Linked DNA regions of Schizosaccharomyces pombe. The main gene of each other region encodes a partner of the protein of the gene in region 3 in a complex. Each region holds a gene or a part of one and is shown on either strand. Other genes may lie near its edges.

Region 1 (3,502 bases), on a different chromosome or scaffold from region 3:
TGAAATACTAATTGGTTAATCATGACAAGGTCACCTACAGTAAGGTTGGAAGTTACAATTCCACGACAACCCATGTACATCATCAAAGTAAGAGCGGTAGAGAATATAATAGCCTGTCCTGAATTCAAAAAGGCCAAAGAAGATGCTACCTTAACGTTGGCTTTTTCGTAGGCGGAAAGATGCTTTTCATATCTGCTCATTTCGTATGATTCGTTATTAAAAGTTTTAACGGCTTCATAATTAATCAGAGATTCAATTGCCGCGGCTGATGCTTTACTGTCAGCAGCATTTGCTTGACGACGGAATACAGTTCTCCAGGATGTCGTCCTAACAGTAAAAAGAGCATAAAGAGCAACGGTTGTAGCAGCAATGGCCGAAAACGAAGGTCCGTACTTGTAAGTGAGAATACCACTCACCATAGCAATTTCAAGGGTAATAGGAATGATGTGTAACACCATGGAGGAAAGAATGAAACTAATACCTTTTGTACCACGATCCATTGCTCTAGTAATACTTCCTGTTTGCTTTGAGAGATGAAAATTCATGTCAAGGTTCAACAGATGTTGATAGACATTGCTAGAAACACTTCGAATAGCGCTTTGCGACACAATTGCAAAAACGCTATTCCTTAACTCTTGAAAAACGGTAGAAAATATTCTAGCAAAGCCATAACCGAGAACAACAGCTCCTACAGTAGACCACAATGCTCCTACTTCTTGAACAAGTGTTGTATTCATGGTATCGATAATTGATTTAAAGTAAAAAGGAACTTGGACGTTAAGAATTTTGGCAGCTACAAGTAGTGCGAGAGCCGAAACAACTCTAACTTTCAAATTAGTCTTCCCCTTGGGCCAAATATATTGAAGCATGTCCTTAACAATCATTTGTCCTGTTACATTTTTATCATCTGGTACATCGGAAGCAAGTTTAACAGAAGTATTCAGTGGCTCTTTTTCTTTTGATTTGTTATTCCATAACGCTTTTGAAGCCGAATTATTTCCATTTCTAAGTGGGAAACATTGCTTAGATGCAAAATTGGAAAACCGCAGTATATGTTGAAGAGGTAATATATTTGACTTTCTTAAAACAAGATAAGTTCCACGAGAATTAAGAAAAGAGCGAGCTGGAATATTTCTTGGCGAGCTGATTAATTTCCAGGGACATCGTTCTAGCATTTTTATTAATACAACACTTTAAGATGTCAGAGCTTCAAGCTGTTAGTTATACCCAATATACTGCTCTTCTATTTAAGATAATTAAAGTTTTTAAATCTATATTTAAATAGAATAAACTTGGCTGATAGAATATGAAAAACAGACGAAACGTTCAGTCAGAAAAACCTCAAATAGCCTCCAAAGAGGCAACTTTTTAATAGATGGTATATATGAATAAAAGAACTAAGAGAAGGATAATTCTCAAACCTTTAGTTCTATAAATCTGGCAGACTTAGAAAGTTGTAGATTTTGATTAGATCACGATTGCGAAGTAGAGTCCAACAATTGCAAACTCATCAAAACTGCACTGAGGATTACGAAATTTTTAGCGTGTATTAACCTTTATAAAAGTTTTACATATAATTATTAATGGATAATCTGAGCTGAAGAAATGTGTGCCTAAAGCGTAAACGTAAGAATGATTCGGTGTAGCAAATAAAGGAAAATAGCAAGGAATGAACGCAATGCTTTACCTTTGTTAAAATAATTTGCTGAGCGAGAACAGAATTTCAAAAACAGGCACAGGTGATTTCCATTATATCAAAGATACCAAACGTTTATTACGTTTTGGTTAAACCACCTGCACACACCCAGAGATTGCATACACTTTTGGCAACTCTGGTAAAGTGAATTGAAACATACCTTTTACTAATTACGAGTCGAATTAGTGTTTTTGATGACTTATTAAATAAATGTCTGATTTGTTGAATTATTTACAGTCTATTGCTGCTACATCAGAAAAACTTTTGGAACCGGAAAACCCAAACGCAGCACGTTTCACAGACGCGGTGCTACATACTCATGCTATAACTGATTTAATTCGCGATACTCAGAAGGAAGAACTAATTGCAGCTGAGTTCAAATCTCTACCGAAGGATTGGAGTGAAAGGTTGGCATCAGAAAACCCTGCAGACTACGTTGCTTGTATTGAGGAACTACTAGATATATATCCTATGCAAGGTGGCCGTGAATATTTGGAGACTCTGGTTGAGAAATACAACTTACATATGTCAGGAATTGAGAATTTGGAAAACGTTTTACTGGAACAGAAAGAGCAATTGCAGCAACTTGAAAAACGACAAACCGATCAGGTGTCTGCTAGGGAGAATATTCTACAGCGTGAAACTTCTGAAATCCAAAGACTTGAAAGAGAAATTGAAAAAGTGAAGCAACTGATACAATCTTAGGAAGGCTATTTGCGTTGGTAGTCAGATCGACTTTTCGTATTGGTGAACATTTAGAAAAGGAGAAGCGAGGTCGTTGTTTTATCATGGATTTGAGCAAAGAACAAGAAATGTATTTAAGCGAGGATATAAAAGACCATGGACTCATTCCTTTGAAGTTACATCCTCAAAGAAGCACCCGAGATATTTCTGATTGCAGTTATCCTTCGACGTCAGATGATCGATCGGCTTACTCCCAATACAAACTGATGAAGCTGAAGAGGAAAAAAAGAAGTCGATGTTTTGATATATCATCCTTTAAAAAGCATATTGAAATGTCGCTTGCTAAGAAAAAAGCAAGTTCGTCTACTGTTACTTTGAAGGCTACAAAAGAGCTAGAGGATTATGAATACCTAGAATATGAAAAACATAAAGAGAAGAGAAGAGAATCTTTGGACTGTTTGCTCCAGGAATTCTCTAAAGCGGCAAAGATATTGAACGAAGATAATTAGCAAACTAAGTACATTACAACTCAGGAGCATAATAACTCATTGTTTTTGTAATATTCTCATTTATAGAATAGTATGTGAAAAATACAATAATGTTCATGATAAGTTAAAGACGGCAATTAGATTACTGGCTCAACGCCAGCTTTTGCATTGGACTCATTTGTTGTAATGAGTTCTTAATATTTATACAAACATAAGTACATACTTGTTCTTAAAAGTTCTAAAAGATTTTATTTAAGATATAAATAAAAGTTCAATAGCATAGTATGATAGCAAGTAATGGAACACTATGTATTTATTCTATATTTGATTATTAATATAGAGTAAAAGTCAGGTTCATAGTGTTTCTATTGACTCGTCAACTATAATTATTTTTTGTTGTTACTGAATGATAGAATTTGAACGAATGTTTTAATTGCTAATACCAAGGCTGCTGCTCCACCTTAACAATCACACATTACGCCAAAAAAATTATTTACTCGATTTCTCAAAAAAAACAATAAAAAAGGATCAATAAGAATACCTTTATTAAGAAAAACTTCTTCTTTGGAAAATTAAAGAATACACTTACTGTTGTTTATTTCAGTGTTTGTTATTGTATTCACAATTATTTATT
Region 2 (3,185 bases), on a different chromosome or scaffold from region 3:
AAGTATTAGTGATGTTGATATCAAAAACAATAAAATAAGTACTTTGAATCCTGGTTAAATCCACAAAATAGTAAGCGAGACATATTCGATACCATTTTCAGCACAATTGGCCGATACGTATATTGTTCTAATGACTGGCTTGAGACAAGTGGAATGACCCGCGGCTATACACTTACATACGCTGCTTTGCCGCGGTACTTCCGAACAAAGAAATGCATTTTGAAGTAAAACGAAAACTAGTTGTATACTTGAAAACAAGTGTAATTGCTCCAATGTTTAAAATTACAAATATAGAATGTGAACAAATTTCGACACTTCAAATAGGTTCAATTAGTGTTACATATTTGAGGTATTGAAAGAGCCACTGAAGTTGTAAATGTGAGTATCGAAAATAGACTACAAATACATATTCATTTTATTGGAAATTGAAGATTGGAGAAGCTATTACATATGAGTTTACTGAACGCTTTCTAGAACTTTTAAAGCAATTGTCTACAGTTCACTTCGCTGAAGAAAAATGTGCATTAAAATGTTAAAAATTGTATATAAATCGTAAAATTGAATGATCATTATGATTCCGTTGTTTCATTATCCAACCTGATATGCTAGGTTATTCCCTTCGACTATTATAATAATAAATGAAAAAGAAAAAACTTCAACCAGTCTCCCTTGCTTAAATAAATTTATCTGGAAGCGGAATAGGTTTCTGGCCGTTCAATGAAAGAAGTGTCATTTGTAGCAAATGTTTCGTCTGCAGTTGCAAAATTGGGATCGTGAGAAATAACACCACCATCGTAGGGAGGGTCAGAAATCGAATGACCAGTACGAGTCATCAGCGTTGCCTTAAATTGGTCTTTCTTAGCTTGGAGTAAAAAACTTTCCGAAAGCGGTGCATTTTCATAATCTACGCAAAAAGCATTGATTTGCAATCCATAAAGAAAAGAAGAAAACGATTCGTTGAAATTGTCGAGTATTTGTTTGGTTGCTGACAGGTGATTCATTCGTTTACGAAATTCACTCACATTATCATCCAAAACAGCCAGTGACTTAGTAAAGGCTTGGAGATTCGAAGGGATTGCATTCTCACTTTCTATTTTCACATTATCAACATTTTCTAAAGGATTTTGAGTAGCTTTCTGGTATTTCTCCATGTTTTCGCGACTTTGGGTGAGATGTAGATGTTCTACAGCGCTTTCGGCAGCAGCAGCAGGAACATTTTTCTTCCGACGTTCTCAAAAACAGCCTGAGCCTGAGACTGTAGACGAAAAAGTGAGCTTTGAAAGTTATTCACCTTTAAAGTTGATGATTCAAAAGACATGGCCTAGGTTTCAAGAGCATAAAGAATATCGCGAATCGTTCATACGATTAGCAAAATGCGACTCACCCGACGCTATCTTAGTACGATTTTTGGCTTCTTGCAATAACGATTCACATGAAGCAAGTCAAAAGTTAATCAATACGCTACAATGGCGCGTAGATACAGGTGTTGAGCGTATCGTTGAGCGGGGTGAGCTTTATGCCAAAGAGACAAATGATGATCAGTTCTTGGAACAATTGAGAACTGGAAAGGTAACTATGTTGGGAAGGGACTTATCTGATCGCCCTATCTGCTATATTCAAGTCCATTTACATCAACCCTCAAAATTGACTCAGAATTCTCTTCGTGAGATGACCGTGTGGGTAATGGAAACTATGCGACTTTTTCTGCGACCACAAAAGACTTTGAAGGACTCTATGGACTCTCCTCAAAATGTGAATGTTCTGTTCGACCTTAGTAACTTTTCTCTACATAATATGGATTATTCTTTCGTTAAGTATTTGGCATCGTGTTTGGAGTATTATTACCCACAATCTCTTGGTGTTTGTATTCTTCATAAATCTCCTTGGATTTTCAGAAGTGTTTGGAACATTATTAAGGGATGGATTAAACCAGAGATTGCTGCGAAAATTGTTTTTACTCAGAGCGCAAACGACCTCGAAAAATACATAGACTATTCGGTAATTCCTACTTCTTTAGGAGGAGGCAACAAAAAGATATTCCAATACATAGAGCCAGTAGAGCATGAGAATGATGCAGTCATCGAAGATAGCGCTGAAAAGACTGCAGCACTTGCTCGCTATTATGCGTATTTCAGTGAATGGGAGCAGCACTCTTTAAATTGGGCCAAGCTAGATGATGATGATGCTCAAAATGAAAAAGTCCGCTTATGCTGCGATGCTGCAGGTACCAACTTTGCCAACTGCTATTGGAATGTTGACAAATATATACGAGCGAGAACCGTTTACGACCGACTGAAATGGATTGGTAATGTTTAAATTTACTCAATCTAAACGCTATGTTTTACGACTCAATTCTTTTTATTCTTTTATTAATAAAAGAATGCATCTTCCTATATTTACTACCTTTTACTAAAAACTTGAGTTTAGATCTAATGTCCTCGAAATACTCATGATTCCTCAATGGCGTTTTCAATAATCGCGTTTGCGCATATAAAAACTGTTGAAAATTCCACCAATCATTCAACCGTAGCTTGCTTGTTTAGTTTGGCTTATGTTTAGATTATTTATTTAAAAAAATCATCATGGGACTACTAGAAATATAATACAAATGAAATGTTTTCATAACCATTTACAATATAAGTATTTTCAATTCAATATAGCACATTACAATGAGCAATATAGATATATTACAAAATATCACTTAAAAAAGTGTTAATTTATTTTATCGCAAACTCATTTAAGCTTCCAATTTGAGGGTCAAGTGGCATCTACCACAGTAAAGGCGGTCCTTGTGGTTGGCCATGAAGGTGGATGCACCACAGTTAGGACACTCACGACGAAGACGCTTAACGCTTCCATCATCCTCAACCTTGTAGTACTTGAGGACGGCGAGCTCAACCTTCTTGTGCTTGTGCTTGATCTTCTTGGGAGTAGTGTAAGTCTTCTTTTTACGCTTCTTACCACCACCACGAAGACGCAAAACGAGGTGAAGAGTGGACTCCTTTTGGATGTTGTAATCAGACAAAGTACGTCCATCTTCTAACTGCTTACCAGCGAAAATAAGACGTTGTTGATCAGGAGGAATTCCTTCTTTGTCTTGGATTTTGCTCTTGACATTATCAATAGTGTCAGAGGACTCCACCTCAAGGGTAATCGTCTTACCCGTAAGGGTTTTGACGAAAATT
Region 3 (8,069 bases):
ACTTGCAGCCATCCCTTCGGGCAGCACCCCAGGAGAAGTTATGGAGTTAGCGGAAGTAGCGCGATTTAAGTAAGGCATATGATTGTACATCCCAGGACTAGACCCCATTAAATTGGTATCCTGAGCACTTACTTTGCGATGAGGAACAGCAGAAAATTGTGGACTGGTTTGATGAAAGAAATTCTGCCCAAAGTTGTTAGAGGAATTGCTGCGTACTGGAGCAACACCCATAGCGGTTCCAACACGCATGAATTGCGGAGAAAACATATCAGAACCAGGGAGAGGACTGTTGGATGAATGCCCGGTAGTTTCACCAGATGCCCATTCAGCACTATTGTGGCTCGAAATAGAAGGATTAAATGATTCAGCATTTTCCTGATTTGAATCAACGCCAGAAGAACCTTGACCTACAGATTTGCTTGAATTCGTACGGAAAGTATTAGGACGACGGGGGAATTGAGAGTTCGAGTTCGGTACAGGGGCCGAGATAGGTAGCGAACTAACCATATTGATAGATGGCATACTGACATATGATCCTGGTGACTGGATTAATGGCGACGAAACTTCATGATTGTTTCTAGAGACATCAAAGATATTATTTCCCGAAACATCGGGAAAAAATGATTGATTAGGTGTGACACCAGAACTTAAAGGTGATGAAATTCCAAAAAGCCCTTGGCTATTATAGGATGAGCTGAAGCCATCTTCTGATGCAGTATTAGCATGATATGAGGTGGAAGGAACACTGCCTGGAATGGGAAATCCAGCAGAGCCATGCTCAAAACTAAAGGAGTTGGTGGCGGAAGAAGGAAAAAGAGTTTGTTCATGAGTATTGGCGTCAACAAATGAGGGAAAGCCTCCATTTTCTGGAAATGATGAAGGTTCTGATGGAGTCATATCAAAGTCCAATCCCAAAACATCCGTATCTGCATGCTTTGGAGAAGCTTTGATACGCTGATTAGGAGAAGCAGAATTATTAGAATTAGCGGGAATGGAAGGGGGAGCATTAGGCAAATTGTGAGAATGAACACTAAAAAAGTCAGAAGGAGGAGATATAGGCAATGCTGAGGCGTCAAGATTAGAAAAATTAGAGCTGTCAATGTCTCTCTTAACGAAATTAAAAGAATTAGAAGCATGAATCTTTGGGTAGCTAAATGGTTGGGATTCCAAATCATGGGGTCTTTGCATAGCATTGGGATCTGGAAAATGAGAATCGGCAATAGAGCGCTTTTTACTTTTTGCAGTAGACTCGTCAAAGCTTGTTTTACGCACGCGACGCTGAATATAATTAAATTCCATCAACGAGCTTCCAGTGGTATCAGCAGGTACGCTATATGCAGGTATTGGGTTTAATTTCATTTCAGTATCTGAGTTATCGGCAGTGGTTTCAGCAGAAGAAGTAGGAGGAACGGATTGAGCACTAGAAGGGGCAGTGGGATCAGAGAAAGTGTCTGGGGTTAAAGTATTTGAATCACCATTTGGTGTTAAGTTCTTTTGCAAATTTATAGACATTAAACGCCATGTCAAGTTCTCGACACGACGACCATTAGACAGTTCCGACTTTGCCTTGGAAAACATTTTCCAGAGGTCTGACATCGTGGAATAATCTTCTTTGGAGGAAGATTCGTCCGTGGTAGATTTGTCAAATTTTTTGACAAGTGCTGGATGTTCCGCTTCCTTGAAAAAATTGGAAAACTTTAGATCCATAAGTAAGGTTTTATGCAAAAAATGTTTAATCACAAAGCAGGGATATATCCAAAAATGATACCCAAAAAATCAGTAACTTCAGCCAGCTTGAAATGTGGATAAGAAAGAAAAAGGGAAGTTTCCGAATAAAAAACCGAAACAAAAAATAAACGAATGAAATGAACGAAAGAGATCGCCTCTCAAACGTTAAACAAAAAAAAAGTTGTAGTAAAAAATCACAAAAAAATAATAATATAAGGTAAGATATAAAAAAACAGGAAATCTTAAGCTAGGACCAAGAAAGCTTCTTTAAATGGAAAACACGAAATGGCAGTGAATACCAAGACACACCAACAACGTTGTTTAGTTAGGTACTACTTTGAAATGATTGTGCAAACCACACGAGCGAAGGTAAAAATAGCAAGAAGTTCAAGTTGCTTTGATATGAACAGGTACTTTAAACAAAAAAGACGTGAACCCCAAAACAAAAACGATCTAAAAAGGGGAAATAAAACAACAAAAACGAACTAAAATACCAAAACAAATATAGAAAAATAAAACAGATATAAGCTAGAATACAATCCAGAGGTGTGGTGGAACAAAAAAAAGTAATTTGTAGACAGATTGGGGAATGGTGGCGCTATGGCTTCCTCAAATCAAATTTCCGTTTTCCCTGGAAGAGAGCAAAAAAAGAAGAAACTGCAAAAGAAAACAGATATTTATTGATTAGGTATGTAATAAGGAGGAGCCAAAGCTTAAAGAAATCAATTTACAAAATCGTTTGAAACGTTTAAAATTAGTACAACCTGCTTTTCTTTTTTCGTTGAGGTTGGCAAAGGGACGGCGTTGTTCACACCCATCTAAGCGAGGTCGAAGAAGCTCTCTTCGGTAAATCGTAAGGTGAAAATAAAGAAGCCTAACGAAAGGAACCACTTTTACCTTTTTTTAGCTAGCTATCCAATGATTGTGCGCTATCTCAAATAAAAACCATATGATTGGTACACTGACTGTTTTGTGAAGCGCAATTGACCAATCATTTCTGGTATCCAATTTTTGCAGTTTCCCTTGGTTACTTAGCCGACCGAGCTGACCAATGAACGAGATCACTTATTAGACGAACTAGAACACCCTCTTTTAGCCTGCTATTTTTTACAGAACTGCATCGTACAATGCAGTAACATAGGTTTCGGGAGTGCAGCCCGAGAGTCGCAAAACTCCCATAGCGTAAAATGCCGAAAAGCCGTATTCCGGATGCATAGTTGATACAACTCCAACACCCACATATTGAAAGAAGCCCCAAATACCGCATTGTTGCAGTAAAATAAGAAATAGCCCCATCTAATTAAGAAAGAGCACATTCCTACTTCCTTTCCTGTTATATTTCTCCTTCATTGGGGCACTTTGTCTCTTGTATTCTCCTTTTTATCATTGTCATTTGAGGTCTGCATCAAAAAAGTTGGAGACTCACATAGGAACGTCTTCTTCCACAGCATCTGAAGACTTTTGAATCCTCGCTTCGGACATAACGCGACCAGACGCCATCAGAAGCGAGGCCTGAAGAGCACCAAGACGTCGGATGGCTTCTGCTTGAATTGCGGTAACATGTAAGTGGTTTTCCAAATGAGACATGTTGGATTGCAACTTGGACAGTTGGTCCACCAAACGATTCATTTGAAAGCTTTTCATTTGACTGGGAGATGGAGATGAACTGCTTGTTCGACTAGTTGGCACAATGGTAGAACGACGCATGGTGTAAGGTGAAAGTGAAAGAAGGCAGACAGGTAGATGGAAGGTAAACAAACCAAACGCGTGTGTGATGGGCGAGTGCAGCTTTTAAGACACCGCACTAAAATGCAATCAACCTTCAGTATCGACAATTAAAGGAGACCATTACCCACTTGAGTGGTATTTCAATTTAACAAATTGCAGCGATTTCCAACAATACCGGCCGACGTTAGTATTCCTCAAAAATGAATAAGAGCGTAAAATAGCGTGGAAAGAGTGGCAGAAAAAGGCGACCAGCGCAGCGCACCTATCTTTTATGTAGCTGACAAGAAGGAAAAGGGGGACGGTAAATTTTTCGCTTACTGATAAAAAACCAAACTTTCGTTATATGGTTTAGCGAGACATAATTTCCAAGCTAATAAGTAATACCGAAATCGTTCCTTTTGCTAAATTTTTCGGGTCAGTTCCGTGGAAATAGGCAAAATTATTGGTAAGGATGGAATTATCAAGTTTTGCATAATTTCCATGGAAGTGTAGAAGGAGGATGAAGACGGAACTGATGAAAAGTGCTCCAAAGCTCCGATCACAATCATGTTGGATGAGGTGCTTTGTCCAAATCAAAGGAAATAAAAATTCTCCGTAAGCTCGACATGCTAGGCATCTTATGAGGAAGATAGGCAAATGAGTATTTTAAAGGAAAAAAGAAATGGAAAGAGCACGATCGTTAGACAAATTACATACGGAAGTCAATGTCCGTGCAAGAGAAGACGCAGCAGCGTGATGTGCATCCGTTGTTTTAATTATTGTTTGAATTTTCAAACTTTACTCAACTACGATCGGAAAACCTTTTTTTTTAATAAACTACTTGTCTTAATATCCTCGGGTTTTATTCAGTTTCAAAAGCATCGAGATTTCACTACACTGGGGTTTATCTTTTAGGTCCCCCACATCTATCATTTCACAGAGTTCCATTTCATATCGACGCTAGGATGGGGTTTGACATATAGTCTTCTTATATGTGAAAACATATAGCTTTTCTAATCAGGTTTTGTTTTTTCGTTTCAGATATATCGGAAGTGAGTTGACCGAACAATGGATTTTATCTTAGCATGGACAAATGTATCAATTCCCTGGAAATGATTCTCTTGGAAACAAAAGAAAGGAAACAGGGATACACAAACCAGTCGAGACAAATAAAATCCAACAGGAAAATTGCTTGGTGTAAGGAAATCGTCATAGAATGCTTTATGGGAGTTTGGGAAGTATTTGTAATATTTACATTTTTTTTCTACTTTTTTTTTTTTTAATTTTTTTAGTTAATGTTTGGCTATTTTCAAAGGAGGAATTCCTGAGTTAGATGAAAATTAGTTTTTAATTTGTTTCTTTTTTTTTATATAATCAAGTTGGTTCATTTAGTAACCATGCTTCCTCATACCGCTTTTTCTAATCATATTCATTACCATTTTATAAGTAATTTTTTCAAACATTCACTCATCCCTTTCTAATCATATACCCCATTTTTATTATAGTTTCTTTCATGAAAATGAATGACTCCTACACTCCATACACATACATCGTTTCGTTTCACAATTTTGTACGCTTCCCCATAAAACAAAGAAATACTTCCATTCACCACGCCCCTAACAAAAGAAAAAGAAAAGATGAAGCCCCTTTCCGTCTATGTATATATACCCTTTTTCATGCTCACACGTGTTTTTCCTGCGGTTTATCATTATCGCTTATGGAAGTGATAATGGATATCTCCCAGTTGCTTATTTCCTAAATCACTCATTTCTTATCCTTATTGCGCTAAAAATGATAACAGTCGCATATTTTCCTCGTCCCTGCTAATTTACGAAGAGTTGATTACTTCATTCCAAGAAAGACGTAGGAAGACGTAGGAATGTCAAATTGCGATCCTATTTTCCCAACTCATCTCGCTTTCACTTGGCGTTGTTGGCATTCCTTTGATTATGACGGACATTTACATCCGTAATAGATGATTGCATGTAAACGAATTTTGTGCTTTGTCAAAGTGCAAAAAAGAGCTACCGATAAACGGAGGACCGATTGTGTTGAACAACTGCACTGACTAACACAAATTTATCAATGGAAAAAAGGTATACGTCGGCGATGCTCTGATAACTAAATGAAGGCTTTTTTTTTTCCTTTTGCGACTCGCCTGCCGCCGCACACTTACTCATGTTGATAGCTCAAACAAATCAAAATACTAACTTTAACGCCGACAATGCTCCACTTGCATCTTGTCTATCTTGGCGATTATGGTTACCTCAAACACATACCGTCTTTTACCACTTATCACTAACAACTTTGTGGAGCGGATTTTCATCCTACCTTGATAATCATCTACCCTCGCACCAGTACCGCAGTATTTCTTGATAATGAGAACGGATGCAGACTAGATGGGGCAGTAGTAAAAGAGCTCGCAAAAGAAACATGAAATTTCATAAACAAATGCTGACGAAAGTATATGAATGAAACTAACATTAACACAAATATGAAATTGAGATTTGAGTCAAACCCAATAATTAAATCCAAACTTTACATGAAACTGACTAGTACCAAAAATGATCAAAACCATACAAATACAGTCTACCCACTTTGGCTGAGAAATCGCCTATCAAACATGACTTGCTTAGTTGGCCCAGTCTATTACATTCCTCGACATATCCGTATACAAGGAAGATGATGATGGAGGAACACTTGATAACATGATTAATAAAAGTCTTTCGAAATCTAAAGCATTCCATTTGTTATCGAGCAAAAGAATAGAGGTAAAAAAAAGTTTTTGTTGTTCATCAGAAGGACCTTTATTTTATTTTTTTTTTGGGTCTTTGACTTTTTCTATTGAGGTATCCATACTAAAAGAAACATTAGAGAAGCCTTTGCAAATCATCACTTTTCTCTTCTTCTCTTTTCTTACTTCGTTTAACGATCTTCCATACGTTTTGTCTTTCTCAGCACCTGAATGCGTAAAAAATGAAATTTTTAAAATCCCACCCCCGTTAAACGAACATTTTTCATTCCCTGTCAAATGTTGTGCTTATCAATTCATTTTGCGTAATCGATTTCTCCTCATTTGGTGTAATTCAGAAACAATCCATCTTACTTATCTGATAGATACCGTGGTAATTGAATCATCCACTTTCTGGTGTACAGGATCACTGATATACATTTTGCCGCAGCCCGACGTTTTTATCTATCAGGGCTCGGGATCCCTACGACCCTCGATAATTGACTATCCACGTGAGTAATTTAGCCTACATTAGTGCCCCGAGGCATTGCACAGATGCGAGATGTCCTATTGTACTCCGAGAAAAGGCCCCTTTCAAATTTTCTTCTTTGCGCTTCTTTCTACTGGGATCTATCCAGTTCGCCGCGGACTTGATATGGAAGTAAAAGCATTTTATGCAAACGACCAAAATACCAACTTGATTATCCTTTCTTAGTTTTGTTATTTGTATAGATGAAATGAGTGCTATCCACTACGACAACATTCAACAAGTCATCGTAGCACAAAAATACATTCTCCAATACTACCTATATAGCATGGGCAAAGAAGGTACGACGGAATGAAGGTGAATAACGAAGCGACTTTTCAAATCTTTAAAAGAGTTTACAGAAAGTTCGAAATAGTACCTAGATGTCTGCAATGTTTTTTACCATTTTTTTCGTTAAAATACTTTTGCGTTAAACAGATATCTAAGTGCGTAAAAGTATTTTGATCATCCCTTCGTATTGTGTTATATTCGTTGCGTTTTCTGGAAAAAGTTATTAAGTGCTTCGTTATTCAAAGAGGGTCTGTGGCTTTTTTTTTCTTTCAGAAAAACTAATACACTAATGTATATAACGATATGTATGATTCCTTTGGTAATCCAGAAAAGGATGTAAATTCACAACTTGAATGTTTGGTATGAAAGGATGAATGTGGCTGTCTAATAATAAGCTGTTTATTTTTTTTAAAAAATAATATCTAATTAACTTCGAGTTGTCAATTGAAATGGCTTCTGCAAGTCTTTTTTTTTTTTTTTTTTTTATACCTAAAGGCCTTTTTCAAGTTTACTGATTTGCGACCAATACCTTAATACTACATTTGCTCCGTCAAAAAGTTTGTATGAACTAATTTTCTCATTACCAGCCACACCATAAATCTCGAGAATGTACAGTAAAAAAGCACAATGGCTAGTGTCTGCTGAAAGTTCCAGGACCTAATGAAACTCCAATGTGCATGGACCTATAATTAAAAAATCGGAATTAAAGCTAATCAACATAAAATCCTTTATACTGTTAAAGTTTTTATATTTTCATCCTTCTACAATCTCGATGCTCCCCTTAAATTACAGCATAACAGGAAAAATCGATTTTCTCACAAAAAAGACATCCTACTGTGCAAATCACAACGAAGTATGGAGAAAAAAGAAAATAAATTAATTACGAAAAGATTAAATAAAAAAAATGAAAATATTTGTTTCTCCCAGCAATTCATATACGCTTAAGGAATGTCCTCATGAACAATATTAAATCCATCAAATAATAAAAAGGGGTATGTAATAACATAAGTTTGATATTAGGCAGCATAAACCATAGAAAAGCTTCAAAATGATTTCTAGGAATAGGGGTTTAAGGTATTTCATACA

The links.
Region 1: dad5 (region 3) and spc34 share a complex: the UniProt entries of both Schizosaccharomyces pombe proteins name them as parts of the DASH complex.
Region 2: dad5 (region 3) and dam1 share a complex: the UniProt entries of both Schizosaccharomyces pombe proteins name them as parts of the DASH complex.

What each region holds. Positions count from the first base shown.
Region 1 is NC_003424.3:3,673,199-3,676,700, reverse strand, and holds spc34 (DASH complex subunit Spc34), read left to right. Parts: upstream 1-1,806; 5' UTR 1,807-1,906; coding exon 1,907-2,401; 3' UTR 2,402-3,002; downstream 3,003-3,502. Other genes in the region: ABC family Fe transporter Atm1, read right to left, coding at 1-1,175. UniProt on the Schizosaccharomyces pombe protein: Component of the DASH complex that connects microtubules with kinetochores and couples microtubule depolymerisation to chromosome movement; it is involved in retrieving kinetochores to the spindle poles before their re-orientation on the spindle in early mitosis and allows microtubule depolymerization to pull chromosomes apart and resist detachment during anaphase.
Region 2 is NC_003424.3:3,105,691-3,108,875, forward strand, and holds dam1 (DASH complex subunit Dam1), read right to left. Parts: upstream 1,152-3,185; coding exon 684-1,151; 3' UTR 501-683; downstream 1-500. Other genes in the region: WD repeat-containing protein Atg1801, read right to left, coding at 181-218; csr101 (sec14 family protein), read left to right, coding at 1,150-2,316; ubi5 (ubiquitin-40S ribosomal protein S31 fusion protein), read right to left, coding at 2,738-3,185. UniProt on the Schizosaccharomyces pombe protein: Component of the DASH complex that connects microtubules with kinetochores and couples microtubule depolymerisation to chromosome movement; it is involved in retrieving kinetochores to the spindle poles before their re-orientation on the spindle in early mitosis and allows microtubule depolymerization to pull chromosomes apart and resist detachment during anaphase.
Region 3 is NC_003421.2:1,667,171-1,675,239, forward strand, and holds dad5 (DASH complex subunit Dad5), read right to left. Parts: upstream 3,693-8,069; 5' UTR 3,436-3,692; coding exon 3,151-3,435; 3' UTR 2,774-3,150; downstream 1-2,773. Other genes in the region: DNA-binding transcription factor, nutrient sensing, zf-GATA-type Gaf1, read right to left, coding at 1-1,707; SPOM_SPCC417.03 (uncharacterized protein), read left to right, coding at 4,833-4,881, 5,073-5,194. UniProt on the Schizosaccharomyces pombe protein: Component of the DASH complex that connects microtubules with kinetochores and couples microtubule depolymerisation to chromosome movement; it is involved in retrieving kinetochores to the spindle poles before their re-orientation on the spindle in early mitosis and allows microtubule depolymerization to pull chromosomes apart and resist detachment during anaphase.